Drosophila melanogaster: one gene and its partners. The protein of the gene in region 2 interacts with the protein of the main gene of each other region in a pairwise test. Each region holds a gene or a part of one and is shown on either strand. Other genes may lie near its edges.

Evidence for each region.
Region 1: the proteins of mirr (region 2) and Unr interact in a two-hybrid assay, tested with the Drosophila melanogaster proteins (one large-scale study listed by BioGRID).
Region 3: the proteins of mirr (region 2) and CG31441 interact in a two-hybrid assay, tested with the Drosophila melanogaster proteins (one large-scale study listed by BioGRID).

What each region holds. Positions count from the first base shown.
Region 1 is NT_037436.4:8,439,986-8,443,742, reverse strand, and holds the start of Unr (upstream of N-ras), read left to right. Parts: upstream 1-2,035; 5' UTR 2,036-3,757. UniProt on the Drosophila melanogaster protein: RNA-binding protein that acts as a regulator of dosage compensation in both males and females.
Region 2 is NT_037436.4:12,692,039-12,695,795, forward strand, and holds the start of mirr (mirror), read left to right. Parts: upstream 1-1,600; 5' UTR 1,601-2,273; coding exon 2,274-2,315; intron 2,316-3,757.
Region 3 is NT_033777.3:11,234,612-11,238,148, reverse strand, and holds CG31441 (uncharacterized protein), read right to left. Parts: upstream 1,864-3,537; 5' UTR 1,793-1,863; coding exon 1,661-1,792; coding exon of another isoform or gene 1,657-1,660; intron 1,600-1,656; coding exon 809-1,599; intron 750-808; coding exon 647-749; 3' UTR 525-646; downstream 1-524. Other genes in the region: CG31388 (uncharacterized protein), read right to left, coding at 1-96, 164-280; CG17721 (uncharacterized protein), read right to left, coding at 2,233-2,548, 2,607-2,740; Arfip (arfaptin), read left to right, coding at 3,419-3,537.

The DNA of each region.
Region 1 (3,757 bases), 4.3 Mb from region 2:
GCCACTAAGATTAAAATGTTAAACAGTTTGTCTTCAAATGAATATTGAAATGTATTAAAGCCATGTAAGCTGAGGAAATTTCATGCCCTTTTAAGCAATGGACAGTTTTAATAGCCTATAGCTAAACGGGTTTTTAAAATTTTAAAATTTCGCTGTACATACATAAAGACGTATTTATTTATATTCCATATAAACTGCACCATACACAACAAATATTGTCACAAAAATATATGTTTGAAATATATCCCTAGAACAACACAGAGACCAAACTTTGGACCTTTTGCAAATGTGTATAGAAATGTAACGCAATCCAGGCAATTAAATAACCCTAAAATATGCAAAACCAGATGCAATTTAATGTGTGACCAAATCGAAGTGCTCGTAACGTAAAAATTATAAACATGATATTAAATCTTTTTAACTACAATTAGCCCGAGATTTATATTTAGCGAGGGCGTTTTGATAATCTATTCATGTTGATAACATTTTGCACTGTCGAATGTATAAAAGGCACCGTAACCAATTAACTAGATTTTGTAAATTGTAATCTTTAAAAATCTGTTCAAGGATAATCAATTTATCAGCATACATATGTATTGGATCCCATTATCATGCAAAATACCATTTAAGTTAATTATGGATTAAGCAACCAAGGAGCTGCTGAAATAAAATTCGTTAAAAGACCCAGGAAGACGTAAAACTAATGTGATTTTCTGTGGGCTGCTAAAAGGAATCTAAAAAAGGGATTTTTTGTGTTTTATGTTTTATGTGACAGAACTTCCGAAAATTAAGAATTAAACTAAGTGAATACACTTCTGCATTTTTGGGGGAATTCCAATTTTACAAAGATAATAACATATCTTCCATATTTATTTATCAGAACAAATAAAACTAGTTTCATTTTTTAAATCAATATATTGCCGCTTAATAAAAGGCGAAAAGATTTTGGGGTTGGCTTAAGTTAGAAATAGCTAGCGATGGTTCTTGTCTCGAATACGTACAGTTTAAAATTAAATATTTAGATGTAATTTTCTTAGTAATAATCCATTTAATTACATAAATTGCTTTTGTTTATTATTAAAACTAAGAATATTACATAAAAGTCACATACAATTCATATTTTATAATTTGCAGTGATAGCATAGAAAATGACATAGATGTATAACCCTGCACTTCTACTACTTTTAGACATTGCATTAAAGATAGTCCCTTTAACTGAATTAAAGTTAAATCGTTATCTTAGATAAGTTTTGATTATTTAAATATAGGAATAGAAAAGCTAAGAGATCCCTGCTCCTACTCCCATGACCACTGACGTCACAATTGTCCCTCTCTTCGCACACCTTCCAACACTGCCATCGTGCTGTCGGCAAATATGGCGCCCGCTAGCAGTTGTTGTGCTGTCGTGTGGTACGTGTGGCTGGTCCAGAAAATTCTCGTTCGCTTCAAATAGGACTATTATTTAACTCAAATTCGGAACGAAAATATGCAGAAAATGTGCCGCGAACAAAGCTGTGATGGAAAAATATGAAATGTGTTAGGGAAATTAGTTTTTAAATGGCGAATTAACGTTTTTTCGTTGCCCAGCCAGATTTTCTACGCTTCTGTGTGTGTGTGTGTGCGTTTGAGGGTACCAAATTTGCAGCCCGAAAAAAAAGTTGATGAAAATTCGTTTTTTTGCTACCAACTTGGCACTTCGGTGACTGTGCATGTGTGTGTGCAGTCTGCGGGGTTGCTAATTTTACGCTAAAAACCACAACAATAATGTGTAAAAATAGTTTACGATTGCAATTGCGTGTGCGTGTGTATGGGCGTGCATGTGTGTGTGCGTAGTAGGTTGCGCCAGTGTGTGTGCAATTTTTTCCGGCAGGCAAAAATCTCTCCATTTGCAACACTGAAAAATCGATAAAACTGCAGCAAGACTTTCGGTGTAGATTTCACTAGCCAAAAATAAAAGAAATAATAAAAAAGATGTATTAATTTTTCTTAATCGTTTCCACCTTTCTCTTTTTCTCATTCAACAGCTTTTGTAACTAAAACTCCGTTTTGACATCACTTTCATCATAATCTGAAAAAATAATAATAATATAAAAAAACAACAACAAATATGATAAAAAAATAAAAAAATCACCATCGAAAACGAATCAAAAAATAATACATACAAATATAAATCGCAAATAATTGAAAGTTACAGCAGAAATAAAAAACAACAACAACATAGCTCAAAAGGAAAAAGTCAAAGCAAAAACTTTTTAAGTTTTTTGGACTCTTCTTTGTTTTTGTTTCGTTTGCTTTGCAAAGAAAAACACACAAAACAGAAAAAACGAGAATTTTTACGCCGCCCGTCGGTGTGAGCGAGACAGACAGAGAGGGAGATAAAGCGACTGCGCAAATAAAAAAAGAAAACAAAACAACAAACAACATAAAAAACAAGCCAAGCTTGAAACGAAGACTTTCAAATAAAACAACAACAAAACCAACAACAAACCAAACAAATTGAAACGCTGTGAAATTAACTCGTCAATACTCAAAAGCACCAACAAATAAATAAACAAAAAGAAAAGCTAAAACAAAATAAAAGGCAAACCACGAAGGAGCAAGTAAAGCGGAGTTTAACAAGAAAACGGCAAAAGCACTGAAAACAAAAAAGCAACGGGAAACGAAACTAACGTGAAGTCAAAGGCAACGGCGCTGCGGCGTTCGGACTCTCGAATAAAACAAAAACAATTCAAGCAAAACCGCAAAACCTACACTTGGAAAAACGCTAAATAAATCCCAAATTCCTCATTATTTTTCCTGAAAAGCTTTAATTTAATTACGAATTTTTTGTTGTTAAGTCAGAGTGAATTCAATTTGCTAATTAATTTAAATTAAGACATCAACAACCGAGCTACAAAAGCAGCAACAACAACAAACAAACAACAACCAACAAACAACTGAATTAATGTTTTAAAGTACAAAATAACCGGGAGTAAATCAACAACAAATAATTTAAACATATTAAAAACGATTTAATTTAAAACGCAACATCAATCTAAATTATTTAACTAAACATAAAAACAAACACTGCTAGAATTTAAGTCCAAAAACAACTGATAAACGCCCACAAGGGCGAAAGGGAAGTGGGAGACAGAGCGATAAATGGAGGAGAAGCGAGGAGAGCTGAATAAAACCGATCAAGCAACAATTGTGCCGCAAAAAAAGTGTGAATAAAAAATATATACTAAAAAAATAACGGTAACAATAAAGAAAACATTTAAAACCAAAAATCTACAAGAATTCTATAAGTTTTAAGTCACGTTTTACACAGACCTACAACAACAACACCAGCAATTGAACTTAGCCAATAAATTTAATTAAAACAATAAATTAGTGAAAAAAAAATAAACGGATTAAGCCAATATATATAGAGAACGCATAACAAATTCAAAACTGCGGCCTTGTGCCAAAAAAACAGTTTTTATTTTTTCCAATAAAACATTGTTTTTTACTAGTTTTCAATTCAGATTTTTTTATAAGTGTACCTAGTGAGAAATGTTAAAAGTCTAAAACAGCAAAAGCAACTGCAACAAACGGAAGTAAAACGGAGAAAAGAAAAACAAAACAAATTCAAAGAAAGATTTAACAACTCTGTGATAATTACTGTAAATTTATAAATTTAAAGAAAAAAAAAAAACAAAAACCTAAAGAAAAACCACAAAAAAATCTCTAATTAAATGAAAGGAAAACCCCGTCATTTTTAACAGTAGGCGAAGAA
Region 2 (3,757 bases):
AGACGCCATCCCGCTCTAGCAGCTGCCGTCACTCCTCTCGAGTGGCGTTTCAATTAATTAGAAAAAGTTAAAGAAACGCCACGGCAAAAACGAGAAGCGAAGTACGAAAATACAAAAAACAAAAAACAAAAAACAAATACCTACATAATAAAATGTAAGAGCGTATGTTGTAGCAGCAAAAGCAGCGACGGCAGCTGCGGTGGCGATTTTTGTTCTTCTCGTTTTTTCTTCTGATTTTTTTTTTTTCTTTTTTTGTTGGAGCAGCGCGAAAGATGCCACCAATCCAGCCAAAGAGCCAAAGCGGTCAAGAGGGGCGGTGCAGGGGGTTGGTTGCCAAAGGGATGGGGTAATGGGGGAGGAGGGGGTTTCTGGAGGGGAACGGCCGTAGCAGCGACTGCGGCAGAGGCGGATGATAAAACATTACCCATCGCGTTTGGCCCAACCTCTTCACGAGTCTCGTCGTTCATGTTCATCAGGCTTTTCTTTTTTCATCAACGGCGAAAAGCGAGAAGCGAGCGTAAACACTTTGCTTTCATACGTCGCGACATTCGTCTTGTTGTTGTTGTTGTTGTTGCGTTGTTTATGGCAACAACTACACGTAGCAACACCCACGGCAGCAGCAGCAGCAGCAACAGCAACTGCGGCAGCAGCAGCAAGTAGCAGCGTTGCAACAGCAACAGCAGCAGCAACAACAGCAGCAACATCATCGCCGACAACAACAGCAACAACATCGCCTACAAATACATACATCGGCATTTACAACAACACGCAATAACAGCCATTTTTCTAGTTGTTAAGTTAATTTTTTCATGTTCTGCCGCTCTCGGTGTTGCTGCTGCTGCTGCTGCTTCTTGTCGCCGCTGCTGCTGCTGCTGCTGCTATGCCATCTCGCTCGCACGCCAGCAAGACGACAGCCAACGCGAGCAAGTTGCGATACTACCGCTGTCGCTGCCGCTTGGTTGCGATTCGTGGCCAACGGCGCAGCGGCTATAGCCATCCCGCTCTCGCCCGGCCGCAGCTGGCAGATACTTTATTTATGGTCACACAGGCGGTAGATACTTTTTTTGTTGCCCCCACCCCTCCACCTAACCAACTGGTTTGCTGCGTCTCGCTCGCACTTGCAGCGAGATTGGTGGCTACGTTTCGGTAGGGGGTTGAGGGGTATCTACCGTAGCATACCGATTCCGATGCCGATTCCAATCCCAATCCCCTGAGTGCCACACACAGCCGGAGCGCCAGCCCACTTATAATGATAATCATTATTGCCGTTGTTGCCGTTCGTGTTGTCGTCGTGCCGCCTCGTTTGCTACTTTTTCCAGCGCACACAGATACTTTTCGCACGCACACCAGCGCACAGATACTTGGCCGCTCTCAAAAAGAGCAAAGAGAGCGCACGCACACCAGCGAAGGTGCGAGTAAAAATTAAGGGGAGAAACCCGTTTGTGCGCTCTCTCGCTCACACATACAAACGCGGCGCGGGCTATGTATCGATGTGGTGGTGCGTGGGCCTGTTCTTGTTGTTGCGCTGCGCTGTTTTTCGATTGTCGGTTGTCGTGTAATTCCCATTTGTCGTACACTTTGTAGTTGCTCAAGAAACTCATGTTAGTCTACTTTTGACTGTTACGCAGATTGTTCGTATCGTTCGTGTCCGCCGCAGTGCCAGTGCCGCAGTGTGAATAATAGTGCTCTCTGCCCGCCGCTCGCCGTCGTTCTGCGAGCTGGATTCAAATTCAGTACCCAGATTCAGAAACAGAATCAGATTCACACCCAGATACTACTATTTGCTGCCGCCGCCTCTGGTTCATTCGTGCTTCGTTTTCGCATCCTCCGGATAGAGCTGCTCCTCCCGAATACCGATTCTACCAATTCTACAAATTTAAACGACTCACATAAACGATTCCCGTCGAGCCGCCCGTCGGATTTTACGGATTTACGGTGCCCAGTAGCGCCTGTGTTGGCCAGCTAACTCGAGTTGGCCAGCTCCTTGCAGCCGTCGGCAAGTGCAACGCAGTGCAACGAAACGAATAACAAAAAAAAATAAACACAGCCCAAAGAAAGTAAACACTGAAATAGCTCGCAAGCCGGATCCAAAATCAACATAAAAACTAGTTCGGATCAATCACAAGATCACAGATCGCACAATCACAATCACTTCACTCGGATTATAAATCTATCTAAATACACATACGTCGGTTCAGTGCGCGAGTCCATCGGTGCATCGTAACTCTAAGATTTGCTTTATAGTTTTAGTTAAAAGCAAAAATTAATATTAAATGACAGTGCACAGTAATGAAACCGGTATCTGTTTAGTAATGGTGCGTATATCAATTTGTTTTTTTTCCCCCATTTTTTATTACTTGTAAGATGGTTCAGTTAATCGCTGCATTTTAGCTTGTCTGGCATTTGGATAGTGGCAATTAGATTGAAAACCCGTTCAGCTACGAGGCAAATCAGTGCAACACATGTAGATAAAAGCAGAAACAGTGGGATTACTCTGGGTTCGAATACCTTAGCATTTTGATTTGGCAAACGGAAGACATGGATTTAAAAATAAAACAGATTGAAAATGTCAGGACCACAAGTGTGCTACATTGGGCGAACAACACGCGAAAAACCGTCTGCCAATTCGGAAAATCTCTCTTATGCATCAATGTCTCTTTGGTTGTTAACCAAGCTGGCAAGGTCACCGCACATCGTGCTCAGTCACACTTGAGTGTCCAATAGGATTTTAGCCATAATAATCCCTCAGTGGTAACACGATCCCCAGTTAATATGGTATCCCTGTTCCAAAAATTTAATCGCTTGCACTCGACACTCGAGCATATTCATATATTTTCATATATGTATGTAAAAGCAACTTGTGGCGCAAAGTCGAAAGCTGAAACGGAATATCGGAAATATTAAATGCTCTTTAAACAAACATGAATGGCTGTCACTCTACCCTCGCCATCATAATGGCTACCCGAAAATAATTTACTTTAGCCGCAAAACGACCACTTCGAGTTGAGATATTTGTTGTGTTATAGTTATAGCCTGTAGCCATAGATAGTCGATAATCATCGGCGGTTGATTCAAAGAGCCGCATTGATAAGAAATCGTACGAGTGTATTGTGGATCCATCCAGCCATCCGGCAAACACCGGGAATTAATTTTTAATCGCATAGGGCCACTTGAGTTGTCACTTGATGAAAGCACGAGACGCAACACCGAACCGAATCCCAACTGCAACAGCAACATCAGCGACAACATTGTGGCGGTATCAATCACGACCGATGATACAACATGCAGCACTGTGACCGCCGGCCTGCGATAAAAATCGTATCTTACGCCTCGGATCATTTGTAAAATGTTAAACGGGAAGAGCGGCTCCAAGCCCCGAAGCCCCGAAGCCCCGGAGCCCCTGGAGCCCCAAAGCCCACAGCCCCAAGCCTCAAGAAGTGGAGAAGTTAACCAAGGAGGCAGCGATAAACAAACCTGAAACTTGTTTTCCTTACCCCATGTCGCATGTGTGCGAATGTGTACGTTGCTCTTGTCCACTGAAGTTGTTGCAGTTGTTGCTCTTGCAGTTGTTTCAGTTGACTAAAAGTGTTGACAAAAGTGCGCGATAGGCTTATGTGCACACACAAACACACTATATACCATGCTATACCATACCATACCATACCATATAGAGGATCGATCCAGGCAGTCATTGGACAACTTACAATCAAATTGCTCTTAGGACGTTGTTGCAGCTTGTCGTTGTTGTTGCTGTTGC
Region 3 (3,537 bases), on a different chromosome or scaffold from region 2:
GGCCTCGATGCAAACGCGGCGGAAATCGATGGCAATCTGCAGGTCGTGCTGGCAGTCCTGGCACATGAACCTGGGCAACTTGCCGTCCTCTTTTAGCTGCAAAGTGATTACAGATCGCGGCATTTATTCGGTTTTTATTTTCGCAAAACGCTAACGCACTCACCTGCAAGTTAGTTAGAGTCTCTATTTGACGCAAAACGGAAGAACTCGATGGATCGAAGAGATTCTTGGCTACCGCAGGATCAGCCATACGAGAACAGGTCCTGCAAATGTACCTCATGGCTTGTGTAATGAGATAACGCAGCACCCCGATCGATTGGAAGTGTATCTTTTTCGGTTTGTTTGGACGGAAGAACAAGAAAAGCGGCATTCGCATTTCTCAGCCCCACGCATAGTCGATTTCGAATTGACATTCGCCCAGCAACGCGGCCATTCCGCCGATTTTCAAAATCTCAATTTGTTGTTACAAGTTTTTTTCAAGAAATAAACCATTGTATCTGCAGAGCGAAAAGTCGAAAACCTTTGATGTCACAGGTGTACATTTTGATTATTTCTTCTTTTAGAACCATCAAATCAAAAATAGAATCAATTTGTTCAATTTAGGAATCTTATAATAAACTTGTACTTTCAGCAGTCCACATGAATTCTAGACAATCCTAGCACTTTCAGCTCTTCGCTGGTGTAATTTAGTGCTTTGATGTAGGGTCAAATGGGATGAGCGCAGGAACCACTGGTCACAGATCTCGCAGCTGGAAAATACAGTCAGTTTGCACATATTTTACGGAGGACAGCTAGTGCTCCTACTTACTGGTACTTCCGCTGATTAGTGTGCAGCATCTCATGTTTTTGACGCGTCGACGTGGAGGTGAAGGCCTTGTCGCAATGCTGGCACTGAAAGGGACGCTCGTTGGTGTGGGTCCGCTCGTGGACCACTTTACTGCTGCATCCTCGGTAGGTCTTGCTACAGAACCGACAAGCGTACGGTCTGGCGTCCGTGTGAAGGATTCTGTGGCGCCGCATCTCGTTATCCGTGTAGTACTTGGCCTGGCAGATGTCGCACGCGAACGGTTTGTGACCGCTGTGTCGCTGCAGGTGCAGTTTGAGGTAGGTAGAGGACTTGAAGACGCCGCCGCACTGGTCACAGAACCAGGACTTGGAGTTGCGCTTCGTACGCTTGGGGACACGGGCACTTACTCCCTTCGAGATGATGGACATGTTATGGAGCTGCTCTTGACAGTGCTCCACCTCCTCTGTTTGTACTTGTACTTGTTCCTCCTGATTCTTCTCATTCTGAGTCGCATCTTCTGCGTCCTTCGCCTTCTCATTATCATTGTGATCTTCCCGCAGAAGCCCAGCTGTATCTGCCATTGCTACACACATTTCCTGATCCGTGTGGTCCCACAAATCCTGCTGTAGCTTCTCAACATCCGGTTTATCGAGTTCCTCATCAACTATCGCCTTTTTTCGCAAAAGTTTCCTGTTAGCGGCCATAAAAGACTTGTGGACCTCCAAGCACTTATTGCGAAATGTTAAGATCCTGTCCAGCTGCACTTTGCAACATTGGCAAATTAGATGTGGCAGAGTGGTGTCAAATTCGAGCTAAACAATCATTTAAATCAATTAAATAGACAGCATACTTTAGTTTTATTCACTTACATACATACATATCGGTGATATTTTCCAGTATACTAATAAAGTGATAGTTGCTTTTGTTGAACAGTTTGGTAGCCCGACCCTGCAAATTGGTCACATTTTTGCCACAAGTTCGGCAAATCGATCGCAACTCAGACATTTTGAGCAAACCAAACGATATTTAAAAAGGTTTTTTAAAACTCAACATTATTGTGATGCATTACATTCAAGTGAATGGCAAGCGAGATAATGAAGATGCACATCAGCTGTTGTCTGTTTACTAAGTGCATGTGCGTGGTGTGTACACACTGGCTAAACGATATTTGAACAATTCAAAACAAAAATATAAAATTGTATTATTTTTTTTTTTTTTGAAAAAGCATAGACGCATCCAATACTTTTCTTTCATTTTAAACAACAATTTGGTTGAAATCGGCATCTTTTAAGAAATCTAACTTTTATTCGTTTCAGAACTAAAATCTTAATCAGACTTCTTTGCTCTCGACTTAATGTTATATATAAAATTCGTTGAGCCTTGCATTAAGTGCACGCTTATGCTGATATATGGCTTTGCCTGGCTGCATGATCACTAGGTGATACCTACTCCTTAATTCCCATTCTGCAGACCGGACAGTGGCGGCCACCATTAGCCTGGTACTGGTGGAGGCACTTCTCATGCAAGGCGTGGCTGCAGCGCAGATACACCATGGTGTAAACACTTAGGGGATCTAAACAAATCGTGCACAAGTCACCGGCTATATTGACATTAACCACCTTATCGCACTCGAGGCACTTTCTATGGGAATAGCGAAACACCAAGTAGCAGAGATTGTGCATGGCATGTCCACACCTCATGCGGCGCCGGTCGTCATCACTCAGTTCATACTGGCAAAAGGTGCACCTGCCATTCGGCGACCTGCAATGAAACAAGGGATTTAAGCCAACATTTTAGCTTTGAATCGCAAGGCACCAACCTGCCCACGATTCGACGCTCATTTAATAGCACCCACCTGGAGTAAGGCGAACTGCGGTCGTTATGCCAATTGAAATAGGCGAAAGCGGCAACGGACACCAGGCCCAAGCCTATTATTAGATTCACGTAGACCATTTTCCGCTGGCTATTGGCCTAAGTAACGTGGAAATAGAAATAAGTAGAGATTTTCCATGAAATCCCCAAAAATTAAATCAAATTTCCACTTTAGTGGGACCGCAACTGGTCGGCACTGAAAATCCAAATAGAATTGCTTGGCCACATCAACTGGCCTATTGATCATGATCAAGAATATATATGAAAATGAATTAAAAATTAATGCTGGTGCCGCAGAGGAGAGTCCTCGCAGCAGTCACTGTCCCGCCAAACCACGTCCCACCGACTTGACCTGCAGGACAGGACTTCCCCGTGTTCCAAACTCCACCGTTCCGCCTTTAAAATACCGTGTCGCACAGCCGGTATCCAAGCAGTCCAAGTGTGGCATTTAACCACCTACTCGCGCACAGTCACACCGATTTTCAGTTCGTGAACACAGTTTGATGAACTTTATGCGGAATTTTAGGGATTTGAGAATTTTGACGAGTCCAGGCAGGGGTTACTAAAGTCTCGACTCGCCCAGCGTGCGCCATCGATTTCGGCGTGGAAATCGAAGTGAAACCTCCAGCGCCGTTGCCCGAGAAACACACACACAGACACCTAATCGGGCACACCCCCACACAAAACGGGCAGACAGGAGGATTTTCCGCTGGCAATTACTCGGTGAGACGGGCGGTTAACTTAACGACGGCCATAGCTATGACGGACCGCGAGCGCAGCATTCACGAAATGCTGAAGGATGCGCCCTCGCTGAACGACAGCTGCGGAGCGGTGCACACGGGCACCGAAGGCGGCAGCGGGATCCTTGGAAGCGCCAG